2 linked regions of the Notamacropus eugenii genome follow. The protein of the gene in region 2 interacts with the protein of the main gene of each other region in a pairwise test. Links are inferred from orthologs where the notes say so. Each region holds a gene or a part of one and is shown on either strand. Other genes may lie near its edges.

Region 1 (9,956 bases), on a different chromosome or scaffold from region 2:
TATAGTGTTTTCACTCTTACAAAATGCTTTTCTGACAAGCACACTGTAAAGTGGCTAGTGCAAGTATGATCATCTCCACTTTATAACAAGAAAACACAAAGTAAATTTCCTTGCCTAAGATCACAGGGATATGAAGTGTCAAAAGTAAAGCTGGAAGTGAGATCTCCTAATTTCATGTCCAGTGTTGTGTCCACTACTCCGTGCCTTTCTTTCACAAGTTTCTCTTGTTATTCTTCACCCAAAGAATTTCTAATCATTACAGTCATTTAGGATTCAAACAGCTGGATGCCAAACAAAATTTTTAATCATTTGTGGTTTTAAGTAAGACAATTTATCAGCAGTGGAGCCATGAAAAGAATCCATAATTCCTACCTCCCACCTCCCCCTTTGTTCTAGGTATGAGACCATACTCCCTAGAGAAAAAAAAACGCTATAAAAAGTGCTTTGCTATCAGTTTCCTAATGTTACCCCTAAGCCCTTGGGAAATATCTACATGACAGCATCCCAGGTTTTATAGCCAAATCATACAGTTTACTCCACTCTTCATATCTTTTTAATAGCTCATGTGCACCCACAAAGGATAAGTCAATGGTGGGATAACATAAGCGGTCCTTTTCCTCATCTTACTGGTCCCAATAATTTTTAGCAGCCCAAGCCTTAATTACTGATATTACTAAACACTAACATTCCTAAAACAGAAGTCTGACCATGTCACCCCCAACTCAAACTGTATGAGGACTTCTAGAATAAAACACAAATTTTCAGTCTGGAAACTATTTTTCCAGTGTTATTTAATAATATTCTCCATCACACACTTTCCATTCCAATCACGTTGGCCTGCAAGCTGTTCCCCACACAGCATTCCACTGACCCCCTTCAAGCCCTGTTCCAAATGATTCCCAGTGTTTAGAATACACTGCCTCCATCTCCAGGTGGTAGAATACCTTGCTTCCCTTAAAGTCATTACTCAGGTGCCATCTCCTACACCAGAGATTTCAAGATCCCTGAGATGGTTAACGCTTGCTCCATCCAAAAATTATTTTGCATTACTTGGTAAACACATTTCTATTTACATTTCAGAATGTATGCTATCCTCCCCAAACTTTTTGATTGCCAGGACCAGGTTTTTTTTTTTTTAATCTTCTGTACCACAGCACCAGCCCAGGTACTTAACAAGTATCTGTTAAACTGAAGTAACCAGCTTGTAGGTTGTTTAGTTGCTCCCCACACTATTGCAAAGAGTATTATTACTCATAACATCAACATGACAGGTGATTATGTCAACTTCCACATGTTAGTGATATTTGTAGTTGTTAATACCCATTAAGTAGAAATGGAAGGACAGGCTATTTAAGTATCCTGTTTAGAACAATGGACTGGAAAAATATAAAACCCAATTCCTACCAAACATTTCAATTATACTTATTACCATACTTTTCAGGATATGCCAACAAACCAAACATGAATATGGGTAAGTGTCTGCATGAAATGGCCACCTAACTTATCTCTTAGGGTTCAAGAATTGACAGAAGTAGTATTTATAAAGTTTGTCAGTACTAGTACCTGATTTTTTTTAATTGAAAAAATCCTGAATTTAAAAGATCAGATTCTTGTTGCTAGCTGCAAATTCTAAGAAATTAATTTTTTTCATCCTAAAAATTGTTCTCCACATCTGTAATGAATTTCTTCCAAAGCTCCACTTGTAGACAACCTTTCCTCTTTTCCAGCCTAGTTCAGGTAGCCTCCTCCACGAAGCTTTCCCTTTAAGTTAGGACTTAAAAACTATCTGCTGAACTATATTTAAACAAAGTATTTCACCTCTGATCTTCCTCACCCAGATGCAAGAACACTGCCCAAGGGTGGCTGACCCACAAAAAAGAGTCTTGCACAAAGGAGGACCGTAATAAATGTACTTGAATTGACAAGAAAATATTTTAGGATGAGAAGGTAGAGTTGATGCACAAGTCAGATAAGTCTAAAACAAAGGAAGGGTGTTCAAATAGAAAGAGCGCTGGATCTGGAGTCAGAATTGTATCAGTCCCTGCTTTACCACGTATAATGAGGGATTATTTTGTTCATTCAACTAAGCCTTAGCTTCCAAATGATTGCTAAGGTCCTTCAAACTTTCCAAAATTTCCCAAGGCAATGTGGTATGGTGTACAGAACACTAGCTAGCAGTCGGCTCCGGCCTGGGTGTCAGCTCAGCCCCCCCCACACTCACTAGCTGAATGAGGCCGGGGGAGTCACCTAACCCTCGCAGGGTCGGAGATACTAGTAACAGTAACAGTTTGTGAAGACAGTCTGCACGCTGTTACCAGGCTCGGTGTATCCCAATCAAAGCTGCACCGGGCAGGACGGCGGGGAAGGAAAGGGTTTCTCCAGCTCCACTTCCATTTCTCCACAGGCACCATTTTTCCCTATCTTTACAATCCCACCCGAACGAGGGATGGTTTTAACACGCGCATAAAGTGCACAAAACAATCTCATCTCTTTGTCTTACCACAAGTCAAACCCACGGAGAAGTCCTTTAAACCAGCAGGAGGCATTCCCAAGGTTGGACCCCTCCTAACACGACCTCCAACGGACGGAAAAGTGTTAAGAGGACCCTCCCTCCCACCCTGGGGGGTCCCCAAATCTTCAAACAGATGGGGGAGCGGAGAGCCGGGATCCCAAAGCTCTGAAACCAACAAGTCGGGGGGAGACACGGAAAGAAACCCCCCCGGCCGGCTCTGGCTCTGGAGATAAGGTGGACTAAAATCTCCGCCCTTCCCTTCCACATTCCAGAGGAGTCTGGCTCCCGGGGCCTGACGGGGCGTAAAGCAGGGCGAGAAAGCGGTACCACTGGGGGACTGCGTGGGGAGGCGGGCACCCACAACTTTCCGGGCCCCGGGCCCTCCCCCCACCTCCGGGGGCAGTCTCAGCCCCTCCCCCCAGGACAGCCCCCTCCCGCCCCCGGGCAGCCTCAGCCCCCTCCCCCCGCCCCCCGCCAGTCCCCCCGCCCCCAGGCAGTCCCCTCCCCCGGACGGCCCCCCTCCCCCTCGGACGGCCCCCCTCCCCCTCCCCCTCTCGGGGCAGCCTCCCCCACCCCGGCAGCCTCAGCCCCCTCCCCCCAGCAGTCCCCTCCCCCGGACGGCCCCCCTCCCCCTCTCGGGGCAGCCTCCCCCACCCCGGCAGCCTCAGCCCCCTCCCCTCACCAGTCCCCCCCCGCCCCCCAGCAGTCCCCTCCCCCGGACGGCCCCCCTCCCCCACCCCGGCAGCCTCAGCCCCCTCCCCCCTTCTCCCCTCCCCCCGGCAGTCCCCCCTCCCCCCGGCAGTCCCCTCCCCCGGACGGCCCCCCTCCCCCCCGGCAGTCCCCTCCCCCCGCACAGCCCCCTCCCCCGTCCCTGCGCGGCGCCGCGGTCACCTGGATGAACTGGATGGTGAGCGCCGACTTGCCGACGCCGCCTCCTCCCACCACCACGAGCCGGTACTTCTCCTGCCCGGAGCCGTCCCGCCAGCCCGCCGTGGCCATGGGGGCGTCCGGCCCGGCCCGGCCCAGCCGGGGCCGGCCCCTGCGGAGGCCCCGCTCCCTTCCCCACCCCTCCGGGGCCGAGCGCGGGCCGCGGCGGGCGAGAGGGCTGCGGGGCGGCCCGGGCTGGGCGGGGGGCGCCGCGGCCGGGTCTTCGGGGCAGGAGCCGGGGGCTCCCGAGGGGAGGGCGCGGGCGCGGAGCCGCCGGGGCGAGAGCGGCGGGGGGGCCCGGCCGAGGGCCGGGGTCCGGGTTCGCGCTCCTCAGCCTCCCTCCTCAGCGCCCGGGCAGCGAGCGTAGCCTCCCGAGCCGCGACAAATGGCGGGGCGGGGCGGGGCCCGTGCTCATCTGGGCCGGGATATTCATGAGGGGGCGGGGCGGGGGCGGGGCCTCCGGCCCGGGGGTGGGGGCGAGAGGGAGGCAGGGAGGGGGGAGGCTTCCTGCGGAGGCCCGAACGTGGTGGGGTGGTGGGCGACCCTGTGTGCGTGCGTGCGTGCGACCACACGTGTATCTGTGTGGGTGTGATTGTGTGACTGTGTGATTGTGTGACTGTGTGTATGAGACAGATTGTGTGACCACGTGTGTATCTGTGAGGGTGTGATTGTGTGCCTGTATGTTTGTGGATGTGACAGATTGTGTAACAGGGTGACCACGTGTGTATGTGTGTGAGTGAGATTGTGTGACTGTGTGAGACAGATTGTGTGACCATGTGTGTATCTGTGAGGGTGTGATTGTGTGACTGTGTGTATGAGACAGATTGTGTGACCATGTGTGTATCTGTGTGGGTGTGATTGTGTGACTGTGTGTGTGTGTGTGACAGATTATGCCATCAGGTGAGTGGGGGATTGTGTGCCCTAGAAGAAGCCTCCACTACATTGCCCCCTCATAGTTCTTGGGTGTTGGGGGTGTAAGCTCAGTTCTATGTGGACAGTCTCGGGCGGGCGGGTAAAGGTGAGGACTTCTAAACCTTAGAGTTCTCATGAGGCCCCCCAGGGAACAGCAGGGAATTGAGGTGTGAGACCGAGCTATCTCGTGTATTTCCGCCTCTTCCCATGGGAAAAGTGCTGGGAGAGAGCATCCCTGCCCTCGAAATTGGCCTGGATCTGAGCACACCTAGTGTTATCTAACAGGCACGGTATTCAGGTGCAAACTATGCGGCAGGAGAACTTAAGTAGGGTCAGGAAAGCCTGAAGGCACTCTTAGCACTGAGGGACCCTTACAGGACAGAAGGCTCCTCTCCCCTCTCTCCCCACTTCCACTTCTGCTTCTATTCTCTTACTGTAAGATCTTTGCCTCCTTGGGAGATTCCCCTCTCTCCTAAGGAAGAGTTCCCCCTGCACATGTAACCAAGACCCTGAATAAAGCCTAACCCTTGTTCGACTCTGGAAAGTCTCTTCTCTCATACGTTTATCCGGTTTGGCCAGCCTGCGATAGGTAAGGTAAGACTGGGATAGCCCTCAGGCCTCTAGGCCTGGCACTTGGGTACTTTTTGTCTTTGTCTTTTTTTCAGTAGACTATAAACTTCTTGAGGGCAGGAGCTATTTGAACAGATTTTATTATTGCCTTTGACTTTACATATAGAAAGTGCTTAATAAGTGCTTGTTAAATTGAAATCCTGTATCATAGGATCATCCATTTAGAATTGAAAGGAACCTTCAAGTCCCTAGAGTCCAAACCCCACATTCTATGTACAGATAGTGCTGACTCTCCCGGGGGAGCCCAGCCCCTACAAGGCATCTCCCACCCTTCCCTCCTCATACATAGATGAAAAAATGAAGGGCCAAGGAATTATCTGCCTCAACACTAACACGTGAGGCAGGTTCTGAAGCCAGGTCTTCCTGATCTCAAGTCCAGCACTCTTTCTACTACACCAGGTACCTCCAACAGGAGAATAGGCTTCCTTTGGAACAAATGAGTCTTCAGACACAGGCTGAATGACCCTGTCGGCTGTGTAGACGTCCTTTCTCAGGTGCAAGCTGAGCTAGTGGCCTCTGATGTCCCATCCAACTCTTGAGGTTCTGTGATTCTAATTCTGTCTCAAAGAATGGGCGTATCCTGTCTCTCCCCACTTGCCAAGATGAAGCTTGTTACCCACCTCCTGGTGGAGAGTGATGGGCTCAAAGTACAGAAGAAGAGATACATTCAAATGTGGAAATTTGCTTTATTTGACTAGACACGTTTGTTAAGAAGATTTTGTTTTTTCCTTTTTTCCAATGGGGGTAGAAGGAAGGAGGAGGAGCCTAGGCATAGAGAAAAAGACCAAAAAGGAAGAGGTTTTTGAAGCATTTTTAGGACAGTACATGGTAGAATAGAAGGAATGCCAGAAGGAATCATAAGCAAGCAAGACAGTTTTGAACGCTACATGCTGATTTTATTGCATTCTTAAAAGGAAAAATAAGTTCTGTATCACAGATTCATGATTTCATGTACAATCCTCTTCTTCTGGTGAACTTTATATATCTGGTGCCCTTTTTATTTGGTGTTTAAGTTCAAAATGAAAGAATAAAATTTAAAGAGTGTTCCCTGAGGCACTATCCTGCGGCTCTCTTCTTCTCTATACTTGTTCCCATGGTAATCTCATCTCTTGGACTGGGAGCTCAGTGAAGCCAAGTACCATCTTTTGCCTTTTTTTTGTATTCCCCAACACTTGCTTAATAAATGTCTGCTGCATGTTTCTCGAATGAATAAATGATGTAATACCCTCTGTGTGAAGGGTATAGATATGTGACATTGTATATTAGTAGTAAGTATGTTTGATCAGAAGTGTAGCTATTTTTGTGAAACTGACCTTGTATGCAATGATTGTAGGTGTGTAACAGGGATTGTGAATATGGAGGGTGGAGGTGGGACAGTGACTGTGTTCTAGGGGTATAGGAAAAGGAAGGTAGTTGTATATGGGACACTATGACTGGGTGTCCCAGAAATAGCATTGTGTGTGTGTGTGTGTGTGTGTGTGTGTGTATAAGACAAAGAATACGGGCTGAGGAAGAGGAGAGAGACAGAGAGAGAAAGGATAAAGAACTGCATATTGTGGGGAGTGGTAGAGAAAGGGCTGCCAGGCTTTGGATCCAGTGCCCCTCTGTGACTGCCTATCCCTGAAGAATAGCCCTTCAGAGACATAATGAGAGTTATTCAGTCTCCCTTCTGTCCAGCTCCTCCTCTCCTAAACAATCCGAGCTCCTTATGCCTGCGTCTGCAGGCCCAGAGAACAGGACAGGCTAACAAAGCCTACACCATAGAGGCACTTCTATTTTAGGAGTCACATATTCTGGCTGCCTCCTCAAAAAGAAAATAAAAGAAATCGTCATTGGCCTTCAGCAGTTGGGATTCCCTCATCCTTCTTGACCCACGATTTTCTACGACTTTGGATTCTGTCTCACAGCTCTGCTTCCCTGTTTCCTTTGCTACTGCTTTCTCCTTCTCAAGTGGGTGTCCCTCCAAAGATGTGTTCCAAACTCTCCTCTCTTCTTGATCCCATTCACTAGCGGGATGCTAACTATTTAGATAGAATGGTATCATGGAAGGAGCCCGAGGATTTGGGAGTCAGGGGACCCAACTTCCAATCCCATCTTTAACATCTGCTACCTGTGTCCCAAGTAAGAAGCATCATCTAGTGGGGCCTCAGTTTCAACTCAGAGGGTTGAACTAAATCATTTCCAGCTGGGAATTTCATCCCACAGATTCCCCTTGGCCTCTTGAGTCTCTCTCAGCTCCCACAGCCAGTCTACTGCCAGGCTCCTGGGGCAGCTAGGTGGTGCAGTGGATAGAGCACTGGTGCAGGAGTCAGGAGGACCTGAGTTCAAATCTCATCTCAGACACTCACTAGCTGTGTGACCTTGGGCAAGTCACTTAACCCCAATTGCCTCATCCTGGGTCATCTCCAGTCATCCTGATGAATGTCTGGTCACTGGATTCAGATGGCTCTGGAGGAGAAGTGAGACTGGTGACCTGCACAGCCCTCCCTCACTCAAAACAAAGTCAAGTGCAAGTCATGTCATCATTTCTCTGATGGCATGGCCTTCTTTGGCAACGAAGGAAGAACACACACACACTGCCAGGTTCCACTCTATGGCCATCTGCACTCCCACAGTAACCCTTATTCAAGCCCCAAAATATTGTCTTAGCCTCAAAACTGATCTTCCTGTCTTCAGTCTATCATCACTCAGAAATCATTTTTAAAAAACCATAATTAGAGGGGCCTGCAGAGGTTCAAGCCAGAAACTGTATAGTACAAGCTCTACCTGAGCGAAGATCTATTCTATAATACACCTGAAAAGTGTTTATCCTTCGTTAGCTGGAAGACCCCTAATGATGGGGAACCCGCTGACTCCTGAGGAAATATGTTCCACTTTTATATAGTTCTACAAGGGGTTTTTTCCTTATAGTGGGCCTTACCCTTCCTGCTCTCTGAAGCCAGGCTTCCTCCATAATGAACCCCTCTTCAGTATTTATTGTTGTTGAGTTGTTTCAGCTATGTCTGACTCTTCATGACTTCTTTTGGGGTTTTCTTGGCAGAGATACTGGAGTGGTTTGCCATTTCCTTCTCCAGCTCATTTTACAGATGAGGAAACTCAGGCAAGCTGGGTTAAGTGACTTGCCTAGGGTCACATAGCTAGTAAGTGTCTGAGATGGAATTTGAATTCAGGACGAGACTTTCTGACTCAGGCTCTGCTCTCTGTCCACTGCACCATCTAACTGCTGAATCCCTCTTTAATTCCATTCAATTCAATAAATATTTATTTAGCACTTACTGTTTGCAAAGCTCTGTGCTATGTGCAAGCGTTTAGTCTCTGTCCTCATAGCAGGGGAATTAGAGGCAAGTATCACCAAGTAAAAAAATAGAAAGTTCTGGTTCCAGGGGTGGATTATGAGCTACTATAAGAAGGAAGCTTGGGATTCTATCAAGTGTAGAAAAGAAGGCAGTACGTTTCAGAAATGTGGCACCATTTGAACAAAGGCATGGAGGTGGGTGATGAAATACTGTATTTGAGGAATTAGAAAACGATAGTGAGAGTGAGGTAAGTGGAATAATTTCATATAATGCTGAATAGGTAGGGGAAAATCAAATTATGAAGGGCTTTAAAAGCTAGGTTGAGGATGTTGTATTTTAACCTAGAGGCAATCGGGAGCCATTGAAGGTTTTGGAATACAAGATGATATGATCAGATCTATGTTGTAGGAATATCCGTTTGGCAGCTGTGTGAACAATGAATTGAAGAGGATAGAGGCTAGAGCTGGGAAAACAATTGGAATGCTGTTTTGTTAGATGAAATGATAAGGCCATGAAATAGAGGCTGAGTTGTATCCCAGTTAGGAAAGGGGCTGGAGGCAAGAAATATGGTGGCTGGAAACAGACTAGATTAAGACCCAGCAGATTATTGGATAAGGGGTTTGAGGGAGAGGGAAAAGTCAAGGTTGACTCTAAGGCTGTAAACCTGAATGATTCGAGGCAGATCTCCCGCTCCCTCTAAGGTCTCTCTTCTTTCACTACTTTCAGGCAGTCCTCATATGACTTGAATTTGAGGCCCTTCACAATTCTGGTTGCCCTCCTCTGACACTCACTGTCCAATGATGGTGATGATGATGATGACAACAATTAGCATTTATATAACACCTACTGTGTGCCAGGTACTGTACTAAGTGCTTTACAAATATAATCACATTTGATCTTCACAACAGCCCTGTGAGGTAGGTGTTACTATTATCCTCATTTTGTGATTGAGAAAATTGAGGCAAATGGGGTCACCCAACTATTTCTTGTTGGAGATTGGATTTGAACTCAGGTCTTCCTGATTCCAGATCCAAGGCTCCATCTACTACATCACTTTGCTGAAGGCCCCTTCTCCCATTAGTGAATCCTTCCTGGAACATCCATTTTGTAGAAAAGACCAGACTAGCAATGGAGCCATCATTCTCTGGTCTTCACCTCCCTGTACTGCTATGGATACCTCCTTCCTCCCTTCTCTTCCTCCCTCTTTCCCTCCTGTCTGTTCTTCAGTTCCATTTCTATGTGTTATTTAATCTTATTAGAAACATAATCTTTAGGGCAGAGACTGTGTCTTTGTTCTTGAATTTGTATCCTTAACACAGCATATTAAGATCTGAATAAATGTTTGATGACTGAATAACTGACTGACTGAAACTCCATTTCTGGTTTCTATGCCTTTGAAATGGCATAGCAGAAGTGCCTGATATGCTCCGCCCTCTCTCTCACACCTTTCCCTGGCTTCCTTCAGAACTTACTTCAAATCTCACCTTCAGCAGAAGGCTTTTTCTGGCCCCTCTAGGAGCTAACACCTTTCCCTTTCTAATTATCTTATCAACTTTGGATATATCATGCATGTACCTAGTTATTTATGTAAGCAACTTATCTGGACATGCCCAGATCTCATAAGATGGAAGTACTCTGCGTCTCCTAACACATGGGTGGAGATAGCCAGCCTCTTTTCA
Region 2 (10,662 bases):
CTCCCCTGTGAGCAGACTGGGCTCAAGCAGTTCTGTTATGTACTCAGTCTCGGGCAGCAGGTCTGGGAGGTCACACTGGGCCAGGACAGCACTGAGCAGAGGCAGGAATTCATCGGCCCCGGCATTCTCCCCTGCCGAGGGAGAAACCCTTAGCCTCCCCTTCTGTCTTTTCCACAGACTACAGCTGGGGAACAAACCCTGCAGGGGCCGGGTGGTTCCTGGGTCAGCCTCACCCCAGCTTCTGGCTCAGGCATACCTGGGGATGTGTTTCTTTTGTGTCCCCTAGTCCCCAGTGGCTATTGGTCTTTCTCTGTTCATCTCCCTGTTCCACAAGGAAGGGGGGTTCCAGCCCAGCCCGGACCCCTCCACTGTTTGGATTTTAAGGTCTTGGGAGGATGAGAGGGATGGGATCTCTGGACAACTGAGCCTTCAGCCCAAAGCTGCACTGGGGGCCTCCTTGGAAGCCAGAAATGCTAGGGGCAGGTAGGGGAGGAGAGGCCATTGACTTCAGGCCAGGAAACCAAAGGAAGACAGCTCTCCTTCCCCCCAGGGCCACTGTGGTCCCTTTTAGGATGGTTTGGGGGAAACTGAGACCCAGAGACTTTGAAGTGGGCAAGCGGATGCTCCAGTTCTCAGTTTGAAGGTCCCTCCTGGCTCTGACATGGTCTGTCATGCATTCTAAGCTCCCTCCCATATAAGATGCCACATGCCCTGTCCTCCATACTGCCCCTTCAGGCAGGTACCTGCCCAGCTGCTCAGGGCCTTGTAGAGTAGCTTGCAGGCCTGCAGGAGACGAGTGACCTTGGCCGTGGGAGAGTAGCCCTGGAGGAGTTTCAGCAGCTTCTGCCGGATACGCTCCATCTCAGATGGGGAGGGGAGACTGAGGCAGCTTCCCAAGGCTCTGGGCCCCTGAGCCCTGGCCAGCTGGAGGCCCTCTACCAGCCGGCCCAAGGATCCATCTTGAGCCAAGCGGAGCCTCAGGCGGGCCAGAAGGAGAGGCCGGAGGGGCTTCAGCACTGAGCGCTGCAGAGATTTCTCTATCACCAGCTCTGGAAAGGGGCAAGAGGAAAGATCCCGGAGGGTAAGGCAGGGAGGGGGCAAGGAGGGAGGGGATGGGCCAGGGAGGGAAGGGGGATTGTAGAGTCACAGAGCTAGCACTCCTAGAGCCTGGAGAGGCTCCTGATCCAACGCTTTAGGGGGAAACTGAGGCTCAGCTAGGATTTAAATCCAGAGCTTCCTACAGCCAAGGTCCTACGCACTGTCCCATGTTGCCCCTCTATGTGCTGGAGGCAGGGGAGTGTGATAAGAGCATTTAGGATGAAATGAGTAGGAAAGTGGGGAGCTAGCATGGGGGAGGGGCAGAACTGAGGAAATAGGGGAGAAATATGGGGATGAGGATGAGCCTGAGGTCTCAGAGCTGGAGGGGGTGCCACTCACCCAGTCTCTCCTCAGCTAATAGCTTTTCTTGGGCCAGTTCAGCCACCATCAGGGTCTGTGCTTGGCTCAGCACCTCCCGCACCTTCTGTAGCTCCTGGGGTTCAGGCCCTGCCCGCACCTTGGTCAGCAGGTCCTGTACGAGTTGCCCAGTGACTGTCTGTCTGTCCCGGGCCAGCTCCACCACAGCTCGGGCCACTTGTCTCTCGGGGGCCAGGAGGGAACAGAAAGCATCACTCATGGACCGAAGCAGCCGGCGCCTCCGCCCTGGGAGAGGGGATGAGCCCGGCCTCCCAGGAGGGCCACCTTCGTCCTCCGAGCTGCTGGGGGAGCCACTGTCCACCTCCTGGAGGGAGGGTAGAGGAGCTGGGCTTGGGCCAGTACTCCCTGGGACCCGGTAGCCCCCTGAGCTTTCCCTTCTCAGCAGCCTGCGAGGGGGTTCAGTTTGAGTCTGGGCAGGAGGACCCCCCGAGGGCAGCGGCACGGGGGGCGGTGGGACAGCAGGGGGGGACAGTGGGCTGGAGGTTTCAGTGGACACCCGAATCTTGAAGCTCCTTTTGAATTTCTCCCGTTTGGCTGGGCCCAAATCCCCAGGAAACAAGGGATTGAAGAAGCAGAGGGCTCCTCCGGTCCCCTGGTCCAGCTCCTCTGGGGACCGAGGTTTCAGGCGGGGAATCGGTGGGGCCTTGGTGGGAGGGACTGCTAGGCCTCCCTGGGCCTTGCTGTTCAGAGAAGAGTTCCAGAACTCTGGGGAAAAGAGAATTCAGAGACCCTGAGCCTCAGTTTCCCCATTTGTAACACAAGGGGCTGGGACTGGCCAGCCCACAGATGGGCTCGGTGATCCCAGTGGCCCCATGGCTCTCCATCTCCCTCCCATCTTTTACATGAGGGGCTTGGACCATCTCAGAGATGGCCCTTTAGGTCTCTTCCAAGGGTAACTGCCCCCAGAAGGGAGCTGGGGGAGATTGAGTCCACTGGGACCCTCCTCTCTGGCTCTGTGGCTCAGAAGGGCAGAAGAGTACAGACCCATTCCCAGATGAGATATAGCTTCTAGCTCCTTGTGGGTGGTAGCCCTGCGGATGGCTCTGGGCAGCTGGAGTTGGAGAAACAGGATGTCTCTGGATGGCAGAGAGGAGACTGAGTCAGGATCTAGGGGAACCCAGGCTCTATTGCAAACAGAGTCCGAGTCGGGATTGGGGGGCTTCCTGGATGGGGAGAAGGGGAGGCGGATGCGGGGGAGTCGGGTCCAGGTTTGCATGTTGTGAGCTCCCCACTGAGTAGGGGGTAGGGGGCACCAGTCTGCTCACCGACTGTGACAGTAGGCGGAGATGAGCTGGATCAGGTCTGGGAACGAGAGTTCAGAGCCCTCCAGGGAGACGCCTGCAAGGAAGGGAAGGTGTCAGTTCTGGGAAGAGGCAGCCCTCTCCTCAGGCTGCCAGCCCCCCCATCCCCTCCCCCACCCCGGGCCTCACCCTCAGGGGTTTCCTGGATGTCGTGGCTGGAGACAAAGGATGGTCCAGAGGCCTTGGGGAGCCTGACACACAGGGCCTTACACTGTCTGGTGTTGGACTTCCGAACCAGGAACGTCTGGTGAGGGAGGGGGGAGGTTCAGAGGGCCAGGGGGCCTGGGCCTCTCCCTCACATACCCCCAGCCTCCTCTTGTCTCCCTCCTCCTCCATCCTTCCTAGCCTCCTGGAGGAAGGCCCATGGCCACCCACCGTCCCTCACCCCAGGGGGTTCCCTCTGTAGCACGTGGAGGGCAGCTGCAGCATTTGCACTAAGCTGTAACCACACGGGCTGGGTGAGAAGCAGCCGCTCTCGCAGGCTCACTGTGCGCCCGGGGCACTGGAGCTGGCCAGTCTGCTCTCCCCTGGCCTCTGGGACATCATAGATGGGGTCTCCAGCCAGGCTGCAAGAAAGAGACAGAGACATGGGTCTGAGAAACAGCTGCCTCTTTTTTGCTGCCAGACCTTCCCTGAGCCTTTGGAGCTGATTCTTCTGGGGTTGGGGAGGGGGGGCGCTCTCCTTCCCACTTGTGTTCCTTGCCTCAGTTTCCTTCCCTGTCCAGTCTCCTCTCCCCACCTCCTGTGTATTCTCCTCTTCCTTGTCCCCTGCATGTTAACCTTCCCCTCACCCCAGTCTCATGAGCGCACGCCCACACACACAAGCACACAGGAACACACACACAGTGGGGAGGGAGACACACACAGGGACACACGCACACACACAGGGACACACACGAGCTCCCAGCCTCCAACTTCCCCAACTTTTCTCCGGGGAGTTACCTGGAAGCAGAGCTGGCTTCCCCAGACAGCTCCATGGTTGGCACAGGGCTCTCCAGAGCCCCTTTTCCCTCCTCTCAAGACTAAGAATCCAGGGCCCGGAGCGAAGGCGCAGTCACATTTCCAGTGAGTAACACTTCCTGAGAGGAGCTCAGCCCTGGCACACCCCAACATGTTAACTCTTCTCTGCCCACAGCACCCCTTCTGGGCCCACGCAGTGCCAGCTGCCTCTGCTCCAGTTAGCACCAGCTGCTCACCATCCCAAGGCGCTCCAGGACCACAATGCCCGGAGCAGCTCGGTTCAACTCTCTCATCCCAGGCTCTCCCCGCCCCCAAACCTGCAGACAGGAGCGGGTTAAGTTGGGCATCTGCCTTGGGCCCACGCAGGGCTTGGTGACTCACCCATGGGGCATCCTTGGGTTCAGTCCCCTCCCTCCGAGAGTGCCCCCTCATGGTTGCATGCTGCCTCCCCCCAGCATCTCTCTTGTAGCTCTTAGGTTGCCATGGTGAGGAGGCTGCATTTCCCCCACATCGTTGCCATGGTAACCACCCCCTTTTTCTGGGGGTGGCACTGACAGCATTAAAGGGGGATGGGAAAAGCCCAGCTCTGAGGTCACCAGTGCACAGCCCAGCTAAGGCCTCTCTGCCTTCTCCCCTCCCACCCAGCTCCTTTTGGGTCCCATCCAGCTGGGCTGGGCCAGGTAGGTCTGGGACACTGGAAGCCACTCCTCCCAGGATGTACATTCCTGAGCTGCCCTGCCCTGCCTCCAGCTGGGGCCTCTCACAGGTCACTGGAGTTAGAGACGCCAGGGGCAAGTGGGCAAGAGCAGGCGCTTGCAGTGAGAGGAACTGGGTTTGGATTCCACCCTTTTTTGGGGTGGGGGGATTAGAACAAGTATTAAACACCTACCATGTGCCAGGTACTGTTCTGAGCATATTACAAATATCCCTTCCTATTTTACAATTGAAGAAACTGAGGCAGACCCAAGTTAGATGACTGACACCATCAGTGACCATTTGCGGGCATATCTGAGCACAGATCCTGACTGCCTGGAGGCTCAGAACTCTACCCACTGTGCGCCTTTCTGTGGCACTTGGTGTGAGCGTGGGCAATTGACTTCTTTCATCATCTGGAACAAGATGCCCTGGTAGGCTCCTAGGACCCGGTGCTTCCTAAAGTCCCTTCCCCTCTGATTTGTGAGGAATACTGAGGGGGAAGGAACAGGAGAGAGCAAGAACGAGCCCTCCTGTCAGGATTCCTGAGCCTGTCTGACCTCTGAGGTCAATCCGAGATCTGCTCCCAATCCAGTTTACAGATTTCTAATCCCTGGTTTGCCTGGGCTCCCGGCTTGTCAGGGTGCCTGCTGGCAGAGAGCTCAGACCATGCTAGCACTACCTTTCTCTGGCCCACAGGCACTGGGGTCTTGAAGGGCCTCTGTCCCCTGCTCCCAGCGGGGGGGGGGGGGGAATGCCCTTCCAGGAGAAGGTGGGTTTTCCCTACCCTGCCAAAGCGGGAGGCCTCATTAAGGTCTCCTGGCAGGAGGGGAGGAAATGCGGGACAGGTACACGAGAGGCAGGGCAGAGCTGTTTTAATTATTAAATTTTAATTATGATTCCATGATTCTAATTCCCAGGACCCTAGAAAACCTGGGCTCCTTCGTTCTCAATCCAAAAATATGTCATTTCAAGGAGCTTCTGAGGAACAGCAGAGATGCCAGCTGGCCCTGGGCCCCTACCCCTGGCAGCCTTGGGTCAACAGCATGGCTTCCAGAGCCCTAGGGGCTGGGCTAGCAAAGGCTGGCTGACACTGGGCCATTCTAAGAGTCTACTGGCTCTGAGTGAAAGTGACAGGAGACCCAAGAGGCCCCCATGTCTGAGGATGGGCATCCAGGACATTTGAGTCAGCCCCACATCTACAGCCCGGTGGCATCCCAGCTGTCAAGAGACCAGACGGTGGAGAAAAGGGTGGTAGAGTTCAGACCATGGAGTCATCTGGTGGCTGGAGGGCCTAGGAGCCGGTCCAGGAGCCCCAGGTGTCCGGTCAGGCCTTGGGTGCAGCTTGTCTGCCCTTCAGGGGCTAGAAGACATGAGATCACCTATGGGCAGTCCCACCTAGGTGGCAGGGCAGTAGCCCCAGGCCAAGAAGGTGGACCTTCTGAAGGAGAGGGAAGCATGTCTAGGTGGGACTGGAGAATGGGACTGGCAGGGCTGTGTGGATGCCCCAGGAAGGAGGGCCAGCAGCCTCAAACAGAGTCTTTTGGGCATCCTCGTTTGAGGATCAGAGCTGTTCAAGGTGGCACTGGAAAGGTTGGATTGCTTGGTGGTTAGCCAGGGTCACAGCCAGAGAGCCAACAAACCCCTCCCCCTCTTCCCCTGAGCAGTGGGAGCTAACATTCCCCACAGGACCACCCCCTTCCTCGACCCTGTGAAGAGGGTGATGGGCAGGCCTGAAGGGGTCACTTCTGCCCTTACCCTCAGGTTTCCTCTTCTGTGGGGACACAGCGACTTTAGCCTGGGGGAGAGAAGAAAAAGTACCCTACTGCCATGCTGCCTCCAAGTCCTTCCTGGCTCAGGGATTAGGGGATGTACCAAGAAGCAAACTTGAGAGATGAGATTTGAACCAGGGCCTTGGATTCCTACCCCAATGGCCTTCCAAGGGGCTTCTAGGCAGGACAGCAGATGGACAGCTGACCCCTCCCCTGCCCTCCCGTCAGGAGCTCCACATGGGGCACAGAGGTCACACCCTCAGCCTTGGGTTAGGGGGCCTCTGCCCCCCTGTACCCTCTTTCCTTCCCTATCTTGAGCTCTGCCCCCCTATACCCTCTTTCCTTCCCTATCTTGACCCTTTGATCACTTCCACTCCACACCCACTGCCTATGGCTGATCACACCTTTCCAAGCCCCAGCTCCCCTACTATCTGCAGCCTTCCCACCTATGGCACCAGTGAACATCACAAAATGGAGCTGACTGGGCCTGCTACAAGGGATGTCATCTCCAGTAGGCACCTCCCCCTAACCCTCCACTGGCTCTTCCCCACATCAGGGCAGCTTCCTCAGACCTGCCCATTCCTCTTCAAGACTTTGATGGCTCCTGCCCCAAGCTTAGACACTTCTGGAAAAATGGAGGCCGTTCAGGGAGAGCCCCACCTGCCCTGAAGACCCATCCTCAGTTCCCATGGATCCAAAGGTCATTTCCATTCAGCTGATTCTGGATTCACCCAGCCCTAAGCCAGCTGAGCTCCAACCTCATGTAGAGAGTACCACCATCCTCTCTCTCAGCCTAGACTCCCCCTGCATGCCACACACTCAACAGACCTCCATAGCCAGGGCCTGTGCCTTCTCAGCCTCCCAGAATACACACCCTTCTCTCCCCTGACACAGTCTGGACTACTGCAATGCCTGCTGGGAGGTCTGCCTGCCTCAGGTCTCTGCCCACTACAGTGATCTCCCTAAAGCATAAGTCTGACCGTATCACCCCCCCCTCCCATTAACTCCAGACTCCCTCCAAACACTAGCACGAGCAAATATAGAACATTCCAAGTCCCCACTCACCTTTCCTGCTTTCACTCTAGCCTCCTGGCTGTTCCCTCCAGCCCCACAGGGGTGCTCCCTCTCCATCTCTGCACAAGCCCACCTTCCTATGGGAAGTCTCTCTGGTCACCCTGAGCTCCAGGGTCTTCCTTCTCCAACCACCCTGTTTAGCCTTCACTAGACCAGGAGCTACTGGAGGGCAGGGATTCCAGGGCTTTGCATAGTGCCTGGCACTCATGTTGCACCAAATGCGTATTTGTGGATGATGACAGCTACCTAGTTAGCGGTGGCAAAGTCCTGACTCTGAGGCAGGCCCTCTTTCCTTGGTCGAACTCCAGCCACTCCATCCAGGCCTGCTTTCCAAAGGACACTTGGACTCTGCCCCTGGGAGTGGAGCAGGGTGCCTTACCTTCTGATCTAAGCCTCCCTTCTGCCTGCTGCCACTCCCTGCACCCTCCCCAGGGCAGTGATTGTGTCTGCCCTTAGCAGACTGTCCCAGGCGGCCTCTCCTAAAGGCCCCTGCTGGGAGGGCACCAGATAAGAGAAGTCAAAGCAGCCATCGCCTGCCCCTGGCTGCTCTCCTCATCTGCCTACCTTCTTAATGGCTGTCCAGTCCTCCAGAATGTCCACATCCTCCAGCATGTAGACGATATAAGGACCTGGAGAGGGCGTGGGTCAAGGAAACTAGAAGCTAGGCCTGGCCACCCACATTGGCATTGCCCCCACCTCTGCCATCCTCCAGGTCACTTGAATAATCATCATTGTATAGAGAGACCCACCCCCAAGCCAATCAGGGCCAGGCCTCAGGGACCTCAGAAGTCATCCTTCTCAGGCTACATTCCTTATTCAATCACCTCTGGACTCTAAGCTGGACTCCTGAAGCCTCCCCCTGGGTCTCAGGCCTCCACAGGACTCCAGGGTGGGTCCTCCCATGGCCCAGGCCATTCCCAGCTTAGGTGGTTCCCAACTGCCTTGGACTGAGTACAACTTCCCTATCTGCTTGGCATTTAAAGGGACCCTTCCAGTGGGACAGCCTCCACTTTGGGAGCCTGTGTCTCCAGCCTCCATGCCCAGCCTCCTCTCACCCCACTACAGAAATCCTGGCTCCTTCCCGGGCCCAGGGGTCCCATCCCTATCTGACTCCAACATTCTTGTGGGGCTTTTCTCTGGACCTAAAGCTCCCAGGGGCAAGGACAGTTTGGGCCTGCAGTCCCGGGCACACAGCAGGTACCTAATGTGTGCCAGGTGAATCCCCTCTCCTTTCCAGTGCTCTGATGTCACCTGGCATAACCCCCACAACTGCCAGGGCTGTGATTCCAGTTCCCTCCCCTGATGTTGACACAGCCCAGAAGGACCACCTAAGGCCTGAAGCAGTGACTGACTTGCCCAGGGAAGGACAGCCAGGATGTGTCAGAGCCAGGACCTGAAAAGGGCCTCAGAATGGAAGCTCTAAGGGGCCCCACCTCATCTTCACAGGAAGGATGTGCAGGTGCCCCAGGTTGGAGCTGGGCTTCTGTCCTTTGGGCCCAGCCCTTCATAACCTGTGCAGAGCAGGAGGCCCAGAATGTTGAGCCTCTAAGATTCCTTCCAGGTGTGAGCCCTGCCCTCCCTGCAGAGTATGGCACAATCCCTTCCTTGCCTCTTGGGCTCTGGGCCCCTTGTATACTGGCTTGCCTCGAGGGGCCTCCACCAGGGCCCCTGTGATATAAGGATACCAGAGACGAGCGGGGCCTTCTTCCTCTTGCCTGACTGCAGGGTCTCCCAGGATCTTGAGCTGCCCTTCGGGTGCACCTTGTCATCCCACCATTCTGTGCCAGAGAGGGAGAGTCAGCAGGCTGCCCTCACCCCATACCCTACCAGGTTCCCCCTCCCCCACCTCACCAGAGCTGATGTCTAGGCTCTGGCGGTCCTCCTCGAGGCGCTGAATCCGCTCCTGGAGCTCCCCCTGGAGGGCATCATACAGCAGCAGCCGCTCACTCTGAAAAGGAAGCCAGCGGTCAGGCATGGGGGCACCTGTGCCCTTGCCTCTGGCTCTGCTGTACCCCCTTCCCACTCACCTCCAGGTGCTGCCGGGCTCCCTGAAGCTCACATTCATACTTGGTCCTGATCACATCCAGACAGAAGCCCTTGTAGATGCCTGGGGGGAAGAGAGAAAGAGCAGATCTTGACCGGTGGGTGGCACCTCCCAGGCAGATGGTACCTCAAGAAAGGTGGTGGTGGGGACAGGGCCTGAGAGAGAAGGAACAGCTCCCCTGGGAAGGGGAGAGACAGCTTCCAGGGGCCCAGGGTCAGGGCACTCACCTGCCACCTGAATTCGAATCTTGAGACTTCGCTGCAGTCCTCCAAGGGGCTGGGTGTACTCAGGTGCCCGTTCGGCCCCAACCTCTTCTAGCCGAAAACGTACCTGGCTCAGTCGCTCCTTGAACAGCCTGAGAAACAAGAGTCAAAGAATGCCACCCACCTCTACCATCTCATTGGACAGAGAGAGAAACTGAGGCCCAAGGTCACCTAGAAAGTTAGTGGCAGAGTCAGGATTCAGCCCCATGTCTTCCAAGCCCTCTTATCATGCCATGGCAAGGTTGCACCAGCATGGTCCCCTGCCTCTGGGGGGGCGGGGTGTCAACTCAGCTTCAGGGGATCCAGGAATGCCAGGCTTTGAAAGGGGAGCAGGGAGGCAGCTCCCTGAACTCACTTCTCCTTGAGTTCTGAGAACTGCTTCTCCAGGTCCGACATCTCATCGAGGCACTCGACGCGGCGACGTTCACAGTCCTCATCATCCATTTCTGCAGGACACAGGGCCGGTCAGTCTGTCCCAGCAGGAGCAGTGCGGGGTGGGGTGGAGGTGAGGACAGGGGTCCCAAAGGCTCACCTGAGCTCTCGCCATCCGACTCTGTCTGGCTGGCACTCTGCTCGTCCTCACTGCCTTCCTCCTCCTCTTCCAGCCCGTTCATCTCTGGGGCAGAGTCCCCATCCCTGTCCCCATCCCCCTCCAAGGTTTTGGCTTCTTTGCTCAGGGGCTGGCTCGGCATTGTCACTCTGAGAAGAGAGGGCATCTTTTGGGACCATACTTTGCCTGCCGTAAAACCCTACAGAACCGTGGGCTAAGACTAATTTAGCTCTGTAAAATAACAAGACTGGACGAGGTCACTCAGGTCTCTTCTAGTCCCAAGTTTCCACTCCTCCCAACTCTGAAGCCAGGAATGAACCTGCGGTGGGCACAACATGATGCTGGCACCTCAGAGAGTGCCAGGGCCTTGCTCAGGGTCACATGGCAGGTAAGGGCCAAAGGGCAGAAGGAAACCTTCATGATTGTGGGTATCATTGCTAAGGCAAAGTAGCCAGGGAGTCACTTGCCCTGGGGGTTGGGTGGTGGGTGGTGGGTGGGTAGGGCTCTCAGTTTCCTCAATCTTCATAAG

Evidence for each region.
Region 1: the proteins of RIN1 (region 2) and RRAS2 interact in binary tests that used the Homo sapiens proteins (3 or more experiments, as listed by UniProt). The link is inferred for Notamacropus eugenii from reciprocal best matches to the Homo sapiens genes RIN1 and RRAS2.

The regions. Positions count from the first base shown.
Region 1 is NC_092877.1:37,805,030-37,814,985, forward strand, and holds the start of RRAS2 (ras-related protein R-Ras2), read right to left. Parts: upstream 3,805-9,956; 5' UTR 3,512-3,804; coding exon 3,404-3,511; intron 1-3,403. UniProt on the Homo sapiens protein: GTP-binding protein with GTPase activity, involved in the regulation of MAPK signaling pathway and thereby controlling multiple cellular processes. Regulates craniofacial development.
Region 2 is NC_092873.1:18,936,956-18,947,617, forward strand, and holds the start of RIN1 (ras and Rab interactor 1), read right to left. Parts: upstream 4,586-10,662; 5' UTR 4,461-4,585; coding exon 3,720-4,460; intron 3,344-3,719; coding exon of another isoform or gene 3,163-3,343; intron 3,022-3,162; coding exon 2,907-3,021; intron 2,815-2,906; coding exon 2,742-2,814; intron 2,553-2,741; coding exon 2,461-2,552; intron 2,182-2,460; coding exon 1,438-2,181; intron 1,050-1,437; coding exon 744-1,049; intron 132-743; coding exon 1-131. Other genes in the region: BRMS1 (breast cancer metastasis-suppressor 1), read right to left, coding at 5,705-5,793, 6,189-6,228, 7,841-7,905, 8,962-9,054, 9,128-9,224, 9,304-9,383, 9,548-9,675, 9,939-10,029 and 1 more. UniProt on the Homo sapiens protein: Ras effector protein, which may serve as an inhibitory modulator of neuronal plasticity in aversive memory formation. Can affect Ras signaling at different levels. First, by competing with RAF1 protein for binding to activated Ras.